Linked DNA regions of Stegostoma tigrinum. The protein of the gene in region 1 purifies or fractionates together with the protein of each later gene. This does not show direct contact. Links are inferred from orthologs where the notes say so. Each region holds a gene or a part of one and is shown on either strand. Other genes may lie near its edges.

What was found. Proteins that work in one complex are often made in the same cells at the same time.
Region 2: the proteins of microtubule-associated proteins 1A/1B light chain 3A (region 1) and cltcb purify together in Homo sapiens (affinity purification with mass spectrometry; 3 studies listed by BioGRID and IntAct, with this or other methods). This does not show direct contact. The link is inferred for Stegostoma tigrinum from reciprocal best matches to the Homo sapiens genes MAP1LC3A and CLTC.

The regions. Positions count from the first base shown.
Region 1 is NC_081372.1:12,785,774-12,793,677, reverse strand, and holds the start of microtubule-associated proteins 1A/1B light chain 3A, read right to left. Parts: upstream 3,026-7,904; 5' UTR 2,922-3,025; coding exon 2,882-2,921; intron 1-2,881. UniProt on the Homo sapiens protein: Ubiquitin-like modifier involved in formation of autophagosomal vacuoles (autophagosomes). While LC3s are involved in elongation of the phagophore membrane, the GABARAP/GATE-16 subfamily is essential for a later stage in autophagosome maturation.
Region 2 is NC_081380.1:42,416,162-42,423,284, reverse strand, and holds the start of cltcb (clathrin, heavy chain b (Hc)), read right to left. Parts: upstream 3,074-7,123; 5' UTR 2,937-3,073; intron 2,773-2,936; 5' UTR 2,649-2,772; coding exon 2,607-2,648; intron 1-2,606. UniProt on the Homo sapiens protein: Clathrin is the major protein of the polyhedral coat of coated pits and vesicles. Two different adapter protein complexes link the clathrin lattice either to the plasma membrane or to the trans-Golgi network.

The sequences.
Region 1 (7,904 bases):
CTTGACTGAATCAGGGTATTGAATGAGCTCAGTAGAATTCTCTAGAACTAGTTGAGTGGACCAACGTCCTTTCCTGGAGAAAGGTAAAGTGGGTAGTCCAGCAAGGTCACTGTATTGGATAAGGGTTAGACATTGTTAGACTTTCCAGGCACTGGGTGAGGTTGGGGGTCTCCTTTGGTCAAACACATCATTATGGGGAGATAGTGGCGATGTGTTGTTGTTACTGGTCTGATCATCTAGAACCCCATGCTCTAACTGACCACAGCAGTTGGTGAACTTAGAATTCAACAAAAATCTGGAAGTTATCTTAATGCTGACCATGAAGGCACTGTCAGTTTTCTGTGAAAAAACCCCATCTATTTCATCATGCTGTTTAGGGGAAGAAAATCTGCCATTGTTACCTGGTCTGGCACACTTGGTCTCCAAACCACGGTGGCTCAGTGGTTAGCACTGCAGCCTCACAGCAGCAGAAACCCTGGTTTGATTCCACATTTGGGCGACTGTGTGCAGTTTGCACATTCTCCCCGTGTCTGTGTGGGTTTTCTCCCACAGTTCAAAGATGTGCAGGCTATGTGGATTGGCCATACTAAGTCGCCCATAGTGCTCAGGGATGTGTAGATTAGGGGGATGGGTCTGGGCGGAATGTTCCGAGGGTCAGCGTGGACTTGTTGGGCTGAATGGCCTGTTCCTACACTGCAGGGATTCTATGAACTAAAGACCCACAACAGTATTGACTCTTTACTATCCTCTGAAATGTCAGTCCAGAGCAATTCGGGATGGGCAAGAAATGCTTGATGCCCACCTCCCGTGAATGAAGACAAGGCTGTCCAAGATCAATTCAAATGGGGGAGAAAGGTGGATCTGCAGAAAGGGTGCACAACACAGTACTGTATACAGCTTCTGCATCATGAGTTAACATTAGCTATGCACCAATATCTCCCTAGACCAGGTGCAGTGTTACTCCAAAACAGTATAGTCAATGCATTTGAAAGCAAGGTGAAGGAAGGAAAGTCCTTCAAGGGTCCAGTAACCTCCAGATCTTCATTCAGAAAAACTGAAGCCAGGGAAATCAACAGAATATGGTGGTGAACAATAAGAGCCCAACAAGACTTTCAGTTTTGGCAAAGATGATTGCAGCTTCCAAGTTAATTAACAAGGCCACGTCTTAAGACATTAAGAAAGTTGTAGTTTCTTAAGTGAGTTTGATAAAATGTAGTAACACTTAAGTGTCTCCTAATTGATTTATTAGATCATTGTGTTTTTCTGCAATATTTCTGGTCAATGTTATGGAGCATCTAGATTTTATAGGTAGGAGCAATACGTATACACTCATGTTGAAGGAGAGAAAAAATGCAGTATTGAAAACTACAACATAGTGATACTGGTCAGAAAAAAGATGTTAATTTACATATAGCCATTCCACTAAGTCTTGTTTTACCTAAAAAGAAGGAAATTACAGATTTTTGTGAAATCTGAAATCACCTTAGAGAAACAAATAGGGTTCAACTGCCCTGGTGATAACCCATCTCAAACTAGGCCTCAACTCAGTAACTGTCATAAAATAATGATGGTTTCAATTATCTCCAATATCTGCAATATTAGTGTGGGAAAGCCAGAACATTTTATTCCCTCAAAGTTGGCACATTGCAAATGAAGAAAACACATTGAAATCTGAGTCTCTGAGGGAACCCTAATTAGCTCTTATTATTTTAACTAATAAATACATTATAACCTATTGCATATTCACCATTTGTCACACTCTTAACCTAAACTGTCATTTTTCTTTAATGGTAATTGAATTAGTGACTCAGCCATTAAACAGATAATAGAAAAAAAAATCTTGTCAGCGCCAAACATGTAACTGAACATAATGATTTCTGCCTTTCTTTTCGCCAAACACAGAACGAGTTATCCTCGGAGTTTATTGTAGAGTTGTAAAAATATCTGGGCCAAAATTTAACGATTGAATATTTTAAAACCCCCAACGTTTATTGCAGTACTCAATGACAAATCATTTCGTTTCTTTTTAAAAGAATCTATTGTTAAACATAAAACGACCAGATTATCCAAACTCAAAACAGAATGTCAAAATGTTCTAACTCGTTTTCTAACCAACAATTCAAAACGTAAAGATCTGTAAAGTTGGAGGCAGGAGATGAATTTCCATTGTTACCAAAACAGGGTTTAAAAAGGGGCGATTTTCCTGTAAAAATGGCTTCCAAAATATGAACAGAACAACAATAAACCTTCACGTCCTTCAGGAAGCCCTATCCCACGAATTATCATAAGGATAGCTTCAGACACTGTTACAAAAACGACATATCGATCAATGATTCACAAATATTAGGCAGATTCATTTCTGACATTGAGAAAAAGTGAGGAAATAATTGAAATTCACTTCAACACCAACAAAAAAAAACATCTTTTAAGTACAAAGATTCTGAGGATTAGGGTGCGTGCACGCATTGTCCTCAGGCCACCCCGATCTCCAGCGCGCTTTCCCTTTGTTAAACTACTGGCGACGTTTCCATCCTTGCTGCCTGCAACCGATCCCTATTTTCTATCTCTCCTCTCGCTACCCCCTCCCCCTTCTCGCTCTCACTGATCTGCCTGTGTCCTTCTCGCAGCTGTTTAAAAGAATCCACACCGGTATATCCCCTCCGCCCCCACCCCAGTCAGCTGAGAGAAGGTCAAAGGCAAATTGGAGAGAAAAAGAAAAACAGCAACAGTCCCGCAGAGAAAGGGGGGAGGGTGGTGCTGCGTGGAGGAGGAGAGACAGGGACACACATACACAAGTCACACTCTTCCCCAAGTGGTATATTTCTCCCCCTTCTCTCTCGGTCGGCCTCCTCTTTGCTCCCCGCGCTGCTCGACCACCTACCGAAGCTTCTTCTCTGTTTGAATGACTTGTCAGAAGGCATTTTCTGAGCAGGAGAACCCGAGAATAATCAGCTTAAGCGGACGGTGCAGTTCCTGATGTGTCCAAGCACAGAGCGATGTAACAAACCGCATCACGTGAACACTTTGACGTCAACGCAAAAGATACTTCAAGGGGAGGACCCGGGGAAGAAAGTGACAAGTTCTCCAGTGTTCAAACACCACCCCCACCCCACATTCCTCTCACAAACACCACCACCCCCCCCCGCCAAACACACACAAAGGGAGCAGCACACTTCATCGCTTTGTTTTCGGTTGAAGACCAGCCGTTGAACGGCATTCGAACGAAACACAACAATCTCAACTTAGATCATATTTACATTCAACGACAAAAGATTGTTACAGTTATCATGAGGTGTCGATTTTAATTTTTACGGAATTGCTCGGCAGAAGGTGTGGACTTATGTCCGCTTGCAGTGATAAATGATAAAATATCACGCCGTTCGTTGATCTTAGTGGACACACGGAATAGTTTTGTTTACTTCACCTTTAAAGCGTGGTAGGGTTTTTAAAAACAAAGCCAGAAATTGCTGGACAGACTCAGCAGGTCTGAAGAAAGGTCACTGGACTCGAAATGTTAACTTTTTCTCTCTCCACAGACGCTTCCAGACCTGCTGAGTTTCCCCAGCATTCTCCGTTTTCGGTCAGAGATCTTGGGATTCTCTGTTTTTGTTTGTTTCAGCTCCTCACCATCCGCGGTTCTTTGTTTTTAGTTTATTTTCCTTCCCTGGTGATTCAGTGTTTGGGTGAGGTCACAGGTCCATTCGGAAGATTAGTTAACGCTTTGATGTGATACTGAGAACTGACATTGCTGAAGTGGTTTAAACCTTCATCCGCCGTCTCCGCGGACTGCCTTAAAACGAAATTTGATAAAGATTACATGGAGAAGATGTGGCGGAGACATAAATTGAGATCCTAAATATAAGATCATCGCCACTCCAGTAGATAATTAAAAAGAAATGACTTTATCCAGAGCATGCAGAGCCGAAAGGAAGCAATTAACTCAGGGTTTTATGAAATTGTTTTTTGAGATGAGAGTCACTAACAAGGCCAATATTTATTGACAATTCCCAATTGTTTCTGACCACCACTTTCCTGAACCATTGCAGAGGTGCACCACTTGTGCTGTTTTTCTGTAGCAGTTTTGTGCAACTTATTAGATTGCTACAAAAACAGAAATTATTTGAGAAACTCAGCAAGTCTGGCAGCGTCAGCAGCTTGGACTCAACGTGTGAACTCTACCTTCTCTCTGCAGATGTTGCCAGGCCTGAGTTTTTTTCCAATCATTTCCTGTTTTGTTCCAGATTTCCAGCATCCACAGTTTTTTTGTTTTATTTTGGTAGCTTACGAATTCATTTCAGAGGGCAGATTAATCAGGCACAGTACTGTGGGTCTGTAGGCTAGGCCATGTCAGGTTAAGACAGCAGATATACCCTCCTCTGGAAAAATAGCATATTTCCTTTTAACAGAAAACAAGTGCTGGAGATCACAGCAGATCAGACAGCATTCATGGAGAGAAAATGTTTTGAATCTAGATGACTCTTCAATAGAATTTGATTTTAATATAGCGAAACAGTAGCTTCATGTTTGTTATTAACAATTTCAATAAAGACTTACAAATTAATTAAATTTAAAATCTGGTTACCAAGGCTGAAATCATACTATTGGAGCAGGCCCCGAAGGGGCAGCGGGATATGCTGCTCAAACAGAAATGAATGCAATGACTCTCTGATGGGGAAGATGAAGCAGGGCAGGATGAGGCTTATTTGAAGTTGAAACAATGGCACAACCCAATTGGATCAAATGATCTATTTCAGTGCTGTCATTACTGGGTAGTTCTGAGTCAGGTTATTGTTCCATTTATAGCTCCCACCCACCTCACACTGCCCAAATTCCACCCCAGGTGCAGACTAAACCACCATTCTCACCATGAAGTGTAATTCTTGTTTAACTCCATGAAGGATGAGAACTCACCAGGAGGGAATAGTTTTGTCCATGCTGCATTTTTACACAGAGATCACAAGATGTAGAGCTGAATGAACACAGCAGGCCAAGCAGCATCAGAGAAGCAGGAAAGCTGATGTTTCGGGCTGAGACCCTTCTTCAGAGAGACCCTTCTTGATTCTCCAGCATATGCAGTTCCTTCTGTCTCTGAAACAGTATTTTTATATGTCATTTTTACCAGTGTTTGTTTCTCTGCTGTAAAGCCCAGACGATAAATATCAGATGAAATTAACCTGTATCTCATATACTGGATTTTACAGCAGGTTACTGCAATGTTTTACCACATTCACAGTGGCACTTATGCTTAGTTGAATTTTGCATCGTCATCTGGAAATAACTTGGCAATATCAGACCCTCCATGATTAATCGTCGTTCATGTGAGGCAGGATGTGTGTTAGCAGCTGTACAATAGAATTAGTGTGAGATCTCATTTCAGGTGGAACTATGATTTTTTTTAATTCTTTGCGCAATAGACTCAGAAGTATCTTTCTGATTAATTGTGTGTTAATTGTGTTCAGATGATGGGCATTAACTCTGACAGGAATTGAATCTGTATGGATACAGACTAATGCTGCATGATTTTCATTGGAAGTCATAGAGATATACAGCACAGAAATAGAGTCTTTAGTCCAATTCATCCATGCCAACCAGACATCCCACTCTGACCTAGTCCTGTTTGCCAACATTTGTCCCCTATCCTGCCAAACCCTTCCAATTCATTCCATCCAAATGCCTTTTAAATCTTGTACCTGCAACAGCCTCCACCACCTCCTCTGGCAGCTTGTGTCATGTACGCACCACCCTCTGCATGAAAAAATTGTTCTTTAGATCCCTTTTAAATCTTTTCCCTCTCATCTTAAACCTATGCCCTCTCCTTTTGGGCTCTCCCACCCTGGGAAAAAGACTTGGCTATTCACTGTAATCATGCCGCTCATGATTTTATAAACCTCTATAAGGTCACCCTCACCCTCCGAAACTCCAGGGTTAAAAGCCCCAGCATATTCAGCCTCTCCCTATAGCTCAAACTCCCCAGAGCCAGCAACATTCTTGTAAATCTTTTCTGCACTCAAGTTTAATAACATCTTTCCTACAGTAGGGTGACCTGAACTGCACACAGTATTCTAAAAAGTGGTCTCACCAATGACTTGACCTGCTGCAACATGATGTCCCGAATCCTATACTCAGTGCTCTGACAACTGAAGGCAAGTGTGCCAAATGCCTTCTTCACCATCCCTATCCACCCACTTTCAAGGAACTATGCACCTGCATGCCCTAGGTCTCTTTGTTCAGCAACCCTCCCCAGAGCCCTAACATTAATGTACAAGTCCTGTCCTGCTTTGGCTTACCAAATTGCAACACTCGAGTTTAAATTAAACTCCATCTGCCACTCCTCTGCGCATCAGCCCATCAGAACAAAGTTCCAGTGTGCTCCGAGATAATCTTCTTCGTTGTCCACTACACCAGTTATTTTGGTGTCATCTGCAAACTTAACTAACCATGCCTCCTATTTGTATAAATGATGAAAAGCAGTGTGTTGTATGCTCATTCTGTATAAATCTGTAAATAAATATAATAGTGTGTGAACATTGGTGCCAGTTCTATCTTGCTTCAACTGGCTTTCACAAATAGAACATCCCTAACATCTTCATAACTTACACAAATGGCAAAAATGGTCAACAAAAAGCTTCAAAGGGATAGAACTCAAAAATGTTTGCTTTTATGTAATGCTTTTTACACCCACCCACAGAAAGTATCAAAGAGCTTTACAGCCAAATCAATACTTCTGAACCAATTTCACTGTTGTAGAAATTGTGGGAAAAATGGCAAATGACCTGTGTGGGTCAAACTTTCACAAACAGCACTCTGAACATGACAAGATAGCCTGTGTTTTGTGATATTGATTGAGAGATGTGTAAACATTGACAAGACACCTGGGTCTGAAGAAGAGGCAAGAGTCATACTTGAAATGTTAACTTTGTTTGCCTCTGCACAGAAGCTGCCAAACCTGCTGAGTTTCCCAGCAATGTTTTTATATGAGTGATAACTTTACTGATCTTCATCAAGTTTGTACTCTGGGATCTTTTACACCCTCCTGTCTGGCAGCTAGAGCTACAGAGTAATGTTTCATCACAGATAACTTCGCCAAAGGCAGAGAAGCTAAATGCATTTGTATAAAATCAAACTACTGCCGATGCTGGGAATTTGAAATTTAGACAGAAATGCTGCAGAACTGTCAGGCAGCATCTGCGGAGAGAAAAACAGAGTTAATATTTTGAGTCCAAGACGAATCTTCTTTGGATTGTGATGCTTCTTCAACAGATGCTACCTGACCCGTTAAGTCCTACAGCACTTTCTGTTTTTATTGCATTTATATAGCGCTCTTCACAGGAATTGTTGAAATATGGTCACTACTGTAATGTAGAAAATATACCTGCCAATTTGCACACGGCGAACTCCCACAAACAGCAAGGTGATACTTACCAGATAATCTAATGTTGCAATGTGCATTGATGAATAAATATTGCCCAAAACACCAGAGATAAGTCCCTTACTCTTCTTCAAAATAGAGTCATAGGGTCATCAGAGCGTACAGCATGGAAGCAGGCCCTTCAGCCCAACTTGCCCACGCCACCCAGTTTTCATAACTAAACTAGACCCTTTTGCCTGCATTTGGCCCGTATCCCTCTTTACCCATCCCATCCATGTACATGTCTAAATGTTTCTTAAATGACAAAACTGTAATTGCTTTCACCATCACCTCTGGTGGCCTGATACAGACACTCACTACATTCTGTACGAAACATTGCCCCTCTGGATCCTTTTGTATCTCTCCACTCTCACCTTAAACATATGCCTTCTAGTTTTGGATTTCCCTACCATGGTGAAAGGCTGTTGGTCATTTACCTTATCTATGCCTCTCCTGATTTTATAGACCTCTACGTAAGATCATCCCTCAGTCTCCT
Region 2 (7,123 bases), on another chromosome or scaffold:
AAGGTGATTCTAGCCTGAGATTAGATTAGCACATTGCAATCCACAACTTGATCAGTTGAAAAAGTGATCACTACCTGTTGCAGTATTCTTTGAACATTGGAAACAGTTTAAGACTGAATATCATACAAGGGCATTCGATACCCTTGCAAGCCCTCTCCTGCTAAGGAGTCAGTCTCAAACAGTAATTTGCTGTCTGCTGTTAAAAAGGCTAGAGTCTCCATGTTGGAAATATTCTAATTTAAATTAGAAAGGAGGGAGGTCAAAAGTAACTTAATTTAAGATTTTCATTGACTGCAGTTAGAATGCAAGGGATCAGGGTCAGAAGGGACATTATACAGTATCAAACAGTATGCAAATATAAGTGCTATCACTCACTGAATGCAGTATTGGTTGATCAATACTGCATCAACCAACTTACAGGAGGTTTAGGCTATTACATGATGGCTAAAACCTATTTGTTAAATAACTGCATGGATTTTGCATCTAGATCAAATTCTCTAATCACTTCCTAGCAGCAGCCCTTTGGACCTCATTGTGCAAGTCTGAATTGAGTAAGCTTGTGTATTTTTGAAATTTAGTTATCAGTACTTAGTAAACTAAAGTTAAAGTATCATGGGATGCATGCGTAGACACTCCAGGGTAGAAGTCTGATCCTCCGAAGTGATGTTCTTAGCAAAGAACTTCATAGTTGACTTGATAGTAGGAACTGCCAATACTGGAGAATCTGAGATAACAAGGTTTAGAGCTGGATGAACAGAGCAGGCCAAGCATCAGGAGAGCTGATGTTTCGGGCCTAGACCCTTGATCAGAAATCCCCCCTGAAGACTTGAGCTGAAACGTCAGCTTTCCTGCTCGGTTTGGTGTGTTCATCCAGCTGTACTGTACACCTTCATAGTTACCTATTTCTTGCTCCATGTTTCAACATGGAGCAATGGTATGAAGCATCACTACAAATTTAGTTTAACCAAATTAAACTAGTTTCCCATAGAAACAACACCCCATAGCTTAGAATGGCAAGTTCTAAACACGTGACTAGTTACAAATCAGACCCATGTTTTAGCGGTATGGGCAGCTGGTTATTTAGCACCTCCAAGGAGAAAGCAGATTGACACATCTACACAAAAGTGCTTTATTACAGATTTACACAGTCTCCTGCTTGCCCACTCACCTGTTTATAAACTGTAAGAGGCAAGTGACAGTTTAAACACTGTCAGTCAACTTTCAGATCAAACTGAATATGATGTCAATTTTAAGGGAGAGCAAGATAAACTCAATTTTCCCTGGCAGGGCATTGATAGTTATTGAAAGCCTTGCTTTTTCACATTCCATGCTCCTATGTCACCAGCTCAAGTAACACCCAGTTAAATTTGTTAAAAATGCCACTAGTAAGTCAGTTGGAATGTAACTTTAAACAGGCTAATTTATAAAGAGTGATACTTAGGGTAAGTTAGCAACTGAAGAACCCACTGTTTAGTTGCCCAATTTAATACCTGTTAAGTTACTGGAAAACCAATGCATTCTAACATCTTCAACTGTATTTAGATACCAAGTGTGAAAAATACACAAACTATGAAACAAAGTTGAGAAACACTACATAGGAATTAAAGATAAATACAAACAATTCTATTCAAGAATCCAACATATCTACAGCTAAAGACACCACTAAGTACAAACAAACCAAACGTTTAAAATGATCATATCTTAATTGATGAGTTGAGCCACTATCAAGCCCATTTTGGAAGCATAACTCAACATTAAAAATTACAAGCAAAGTTACAACTGGTTGAAAAAAGTTCAACTGTCTCACTGCTAGCTGAGAACATGGTCATGGGTTGCACATATAAAACAAGTTATTTACAGTACAAGAACTCAAATTTCAGTTTAAAACACTGAAGGGTCATTAAGCAATTGTCCCACTTCCACCTCAGATTAAAAGACAGGCAAACATTGGTGGGGTGGAAGCCTGGTACTGTTACCATTAGAAACATCTGCACTAGGCTCCATTTGGCAAAAAAAATCATTCATAGCCTGAACTCACTCCAATTTATTAAAAAACTAAATGAGATGGGCACCATCAGCATTCGAGGCCTGCAGTAAGGTAGAGCTTTAAACTAGGGGTGGGGTTAAAGAAGACAAGATTTTTTTATAAACCGTGCAAGCATTCACACATTTCCTCATACGGGCGACATTGTGAAACGGTGCCACGGTGTAATCCAAGGTTGAACCTCCACCCCCACCGATAATATTTCAAAGTGAAAAATTACGGCGAAATTGGGGGGGGGGGTAGGTTTGCAAAACGAGAGATATATAGAGAGAAGCAAATCCGGGGGGGGGATTAGGAATAATCTACAGGCGGGAGGGAGGTGGGGTCGAAGATTAGAGACGGGAGCGCTGTATGCGGGTGGGGATGACATTTACCCAGGGCTCGGTCTGAAGCGAAGGCCCATGTTACGGGGGGGGGGGGGGGGGGGAAGAAGAGAGAAGGTGTAGAGGTCAGGAGATGCAGGGGCGGGGGGGGGGGGGGGTGTTAAAATTTTTTGTTTAAAGTTAAGTTAAAAAAGAGAAAAAAAGTCATCGTTTACTGACGGACTGATTGAGCGAGTTACCTGCAGGTGCTCCTGGAAGCGGATGGGCAGGATCTGAGCCATGTCGACAGACGACGCTGGCGCTCAGCGGGTCCAAAAGGAAAGAAAAAACACACCGAGATCCTCCGGCGAGAGAATAAAAAACCAGCCAGGGAAGAGAGAGAGAGAGAGGCGAGTAAGTGCGGATCTGTGTGGGGGGAGAAATAATAAATACAAAAAAATATTATTTCTACATCGAATGACATCAGCCAAGAGGGAAATGTTCCAAAAACCCCTCCCTCAGACGGAAGGGGGTCAGGGGGAAAGCCCGTTATCACCGTGAAGGGAGGAGACGCCCTCTCAGAGACTCACCTGAAGCTGCTGCCCTTCCTGCCGCCCGCCTCCCCTTTTATAAACCGTCAACGGGGCCCCCACGGAGCCGCAGCGGGAGCCGCAATGGCGGAAAACCGGAAACGGCGGAGCGCTACCCCTGCACCCGGTGACACGCCCCTCCACCCAGACCGTCAGATCAAAGCGAGGTGAGGGGGGGTGGGGTCACTTCGGCAAGCCCACCCGCTGTGTAACTAAAAAAAACAACAGACAACCCCCACACGCCCGTCCACCCCTTCGCTCATTGCAACCATATACGAGTAAAACTTGGTCTTTCGGGTACCGCCCCCCTTCAGATTTGACGGCGAAAACTGGGAAGCGGGGGTGGGCGGAAATGGGACTTTTTTCGGTCGGCGGAGAGTTTTCCTTCGGGCGGCCACATCATTGGCACATGATTAAGCATCACTTCCGCCTGGGCTTCCGGGTTTCTCCACCTTCCGCCTTCAGCTCCTCATTCATTGCAAAGGCTGGCCCTGCTGTATCTGCAATGATGGAGGGAAGGTTGTTGTGTCCTCTCTCTCGGCCTTTTGGAGATTTTTAAAATATATTCCAGCAATAAAATTAGTGCATTCCCCAAAAAAAAGTGTATGTGTGAGTTCATACAAATAAATGAAGTAGATTTTATCTTTCATGTCCCAGTCTTTAATTTTTGGAACAGAGGACATTCCATGGAATGATGAAGTCACTTAAGGTACGGGGAGGCCATTCGCTCCATGATGACTGTCTCAGAGCACTTCAGTCTCATTCCTCTACCGTAGCCTCATAACCGGGCAAGTTTATTTCCCTCGAGTCCCCATCTAATTTCCCAGAAGGAACAAATCAGCTTAGCAATGAAAAGTAACACTTGGAAATTAACAGAGATAATGGGAACTGCAGATGCCGGAGAATTCCAAGATAATAAAATGTGAGGCTGGATGAACACAGCAGGCCAAGCAGCATCTCAGGAGCACAAAAGCATCTTCGGTCCGCCTCCCCCTCTCTCCCTATTTATTCCAGTTCCCTCTCCCCATCCCCCTCTCTGATGAAGGGTCCAGGCCCGAAACGTCAGCTTTTGTGCTCCTGAGATGCTGCTTGGCCTGCTGTGTTCATCCAGCCTCACATTTTATTAACTTGGAAATTAACACACTGATTATCTGTTTTGAAGAGTACAAGTTGAACAAGTGTATCATATCCAGTTTTGCTTTCTGGGAAGTCATCAATCATTACTTAATGATTTTCGGGATGGTTGAGGATGTTGGGTTGACACCACAGTCACATCAGCTATGATCTTACTTATTGGCAGAGCTGGCTTGAGATCTGAATGACCTACTCCTGCTTCTCATTTATATGATGATATGCAGTGTGCTATATGTAGCTATGCTGAAATGGTTTCTTGCTCTAGAGAAAGAAAAATTGGGTTGATATTAAATTACATGATCACCTCTCAATGACTCAAGCTGTGACTCAACAGTTCTTAACTCTGGATGACCTATTCTGGGAGATTTCACTTCATGACCTCCAACTTTCCACTACTGCTTGACCACACTCCTTCTGTTGGTCATTCAGTGTGTCAATCATTACACACAACCCTTTCCCAAAGTAACAACGTGTGGAGCTGGATGAACACAGCAGGCCAAGCAGCATCTTAGGAGCAGGAAAGCTGACATTTCAGGCCTAGACCCATCATCAGAAATGGGGGAGGAAAGAGGGTTCTGAAATAAATAGAGAGAAAGGGGAGGCCGATTGAAGATGGATACAGGAGACAGACAAGTTAAAGGAGCAGGGATGGAGCCTGTAGAGGTGAGTGTCGGTGGGGAGGTAGGGAGGAGATAGGTCAGTCTGGGGAGGACAGACAGGTCAAGGGGGCGGGTTGAGGTTAGTAGGTAAGGAATGGGGGTGCAGCTTGAGGTGGGAGGAGGGGACAGGAGAGAGGAAGAACACGTTAGGGAGGCGGGGACAAGCTGGGCTGGTTTTGGGATGCGGTGGGGGGCCGGGGAGATTTTGAAGCTTGTGAAATCCACGCTGATACCATTGGGTTGCAGGGTTCCCAAGCGGAATATGAGTTGCTGTTCCTGCAACATTCGGGTGGTATCGTTGTGGCACTGCAGGAGGCCCAGGATGGATATGTCTTCTGAAGAGGAGTTGAAATGGTTCGTGTCTGCGAGGTGCAGCTGTTTATTGTGAACCGAGCGTAGGCGTTCTGCAAAGCAGTCCCCAAGCCTCCGCTTGGTTTCGCCAATGTAGAGGAAGCCACAATGGGTACAGCGGATTCAGTATATCACATTAGCAGATGTGCAAGTGGACTTCTGCTTGATGTGGAAAGTCTTCTTGTGGCCTGGGATGGGGATGAGGGAGGAGGTGTGGGGGCAGGTGTAGCACTCCCTGCGGTTGCAGGGGAAAGTGCCGGGTGTGGTGGGGTTGGAGGGGAGTGTGGAGGAGACAAAGGAGTCATGGAGAGAGTGGTCTCTCCAGAAGGCAGACAAGGGTGGGGAGGGAAAAATGTCTTTGGTGGTGGGATCAGATTTCAGATGGTGGCAGTGTCGGAGGATGATGCATTGGATCTGGAGGTTGGTGGGGTGGTATGTGAGGACGAGGGGGATTCTCTTTTGGTTGTTATTATGGGGACGGGGTGTGAGGGATAAGTTGCAGGAAATGCGGGAGACGCGGTCGAGGGCATCCTTGACCACTGCGGGGGGACGTTGTGGTCCTTGAAAAATTAGAACACCTATGGGAGTGGAATGCCTTATCCTGGGAACAGATGTGGCAGAGGCGAAGGAATTGGGAATAGGGGATGGCATTTTTGAGGGAAGGTGGATGGGAGGAGGTGTATTCTAGGTAGCTGCGGGAGTTGGTGGGCTTGAAGTGGATATCGGTTTCTAGGTGGTTGCCCGAGATGGAGACAGAGAGGTCCAGGAAGGTGAGGGATGTGTTTGAGATAGTCCAGGTGAACTTGGGGTGGAAGGTGTTGGCGAAGTGGATGAACTGTTTGAGCTCCTCATGGGAGCACGAGGCGGCGCCGATACAGTCATCAATGTAATGGAGGAAGAGGTGGAGTTTAGGGCCATACAATTTTAACCTTTCCCAAAGTTTTCATTGTGTCCTGATTTTGACTTTTGTGAGTTTGGTCATGATTACACTGAGGCAAGTGATTAAGGCTTGCACCAGAAAGATAGCATCTTAGAGGGTCAAGGTTTTGGCACAGAGTGTTAAAGTTTATGCCCTGTACAAAAGTAATGCAGTTTCAATCAACGGATGGGAATCAGAAAACAATCCTAACAGGTTTGGAGTCATGCAGAGCTGTGCTCTTTCCTGTGATCTATGTGTTGGATAGAACCCTTTTGCCAAGTCAATCAAAAAGAATGTGAAAATAAGAAGGGTGACCATCCAGGTAGTGGAGGCACTGAGGTCAGAGCTTTTCTGTAGGTGGGCAATGTCATCATCTTCTGCTCAGTTCCACTGACGATGAATAGACCGATTTGAACTTGAATCAGGAGGCAAGATAAATTGAGCAAAGAGCAAGGCCACGCTTTTTGGGAACTGAGCCAACTAAACCTTTGTTCTTCATTGTCGGGTCAGATTACCTGAAGATGCTCGGATATGGTTTGGAGGGGCCAGGGTACGTGAACAAGTAACTGTTATAAAACAAAGCATGGGTACAGAGGAATGATGCTCCCTCTCCGTTGCAGGTAAGAACCTAGTCATCAGTTGCTGTGCTCTCAATGTTGCAGGCCTGGCCCATTCTTCACTCCTGCACCACAGTGGTCACCTGAGATATTTTCCACTTTATCTGGAGGTTGAAGAAGGACTATGCTCACAGAGACACACCCTTCATATGCAAATACAAATGTTTACAGGTTCTACCTGCCCCTGGGTGTTACAAAGAATGGGTCCATCCACATTGTTGTAGAACACTGAAACTAGATGGACTTTGCTGTATCACCTATCCCTCGTGGAGTAGTTTCTACCAAAAAAATTCAGGAAGTGGTCTTCACCTGACAGCCTCTCGACCTTGTGGCAAAGGGAGATGGCAGATCCTGTCAGATGGTTTCCATGTGTAAGCTGTCAAAGTCATTTGGTAGAATACTTCGCCGCCAGAACTAACAAAAACAAGCACCAAGGCATGGCTGGGTATGATGTGAGAAAGGCCCTCCCTGCCAAATCCTTCCTACAAACTCAGAATCTCGTCCTCC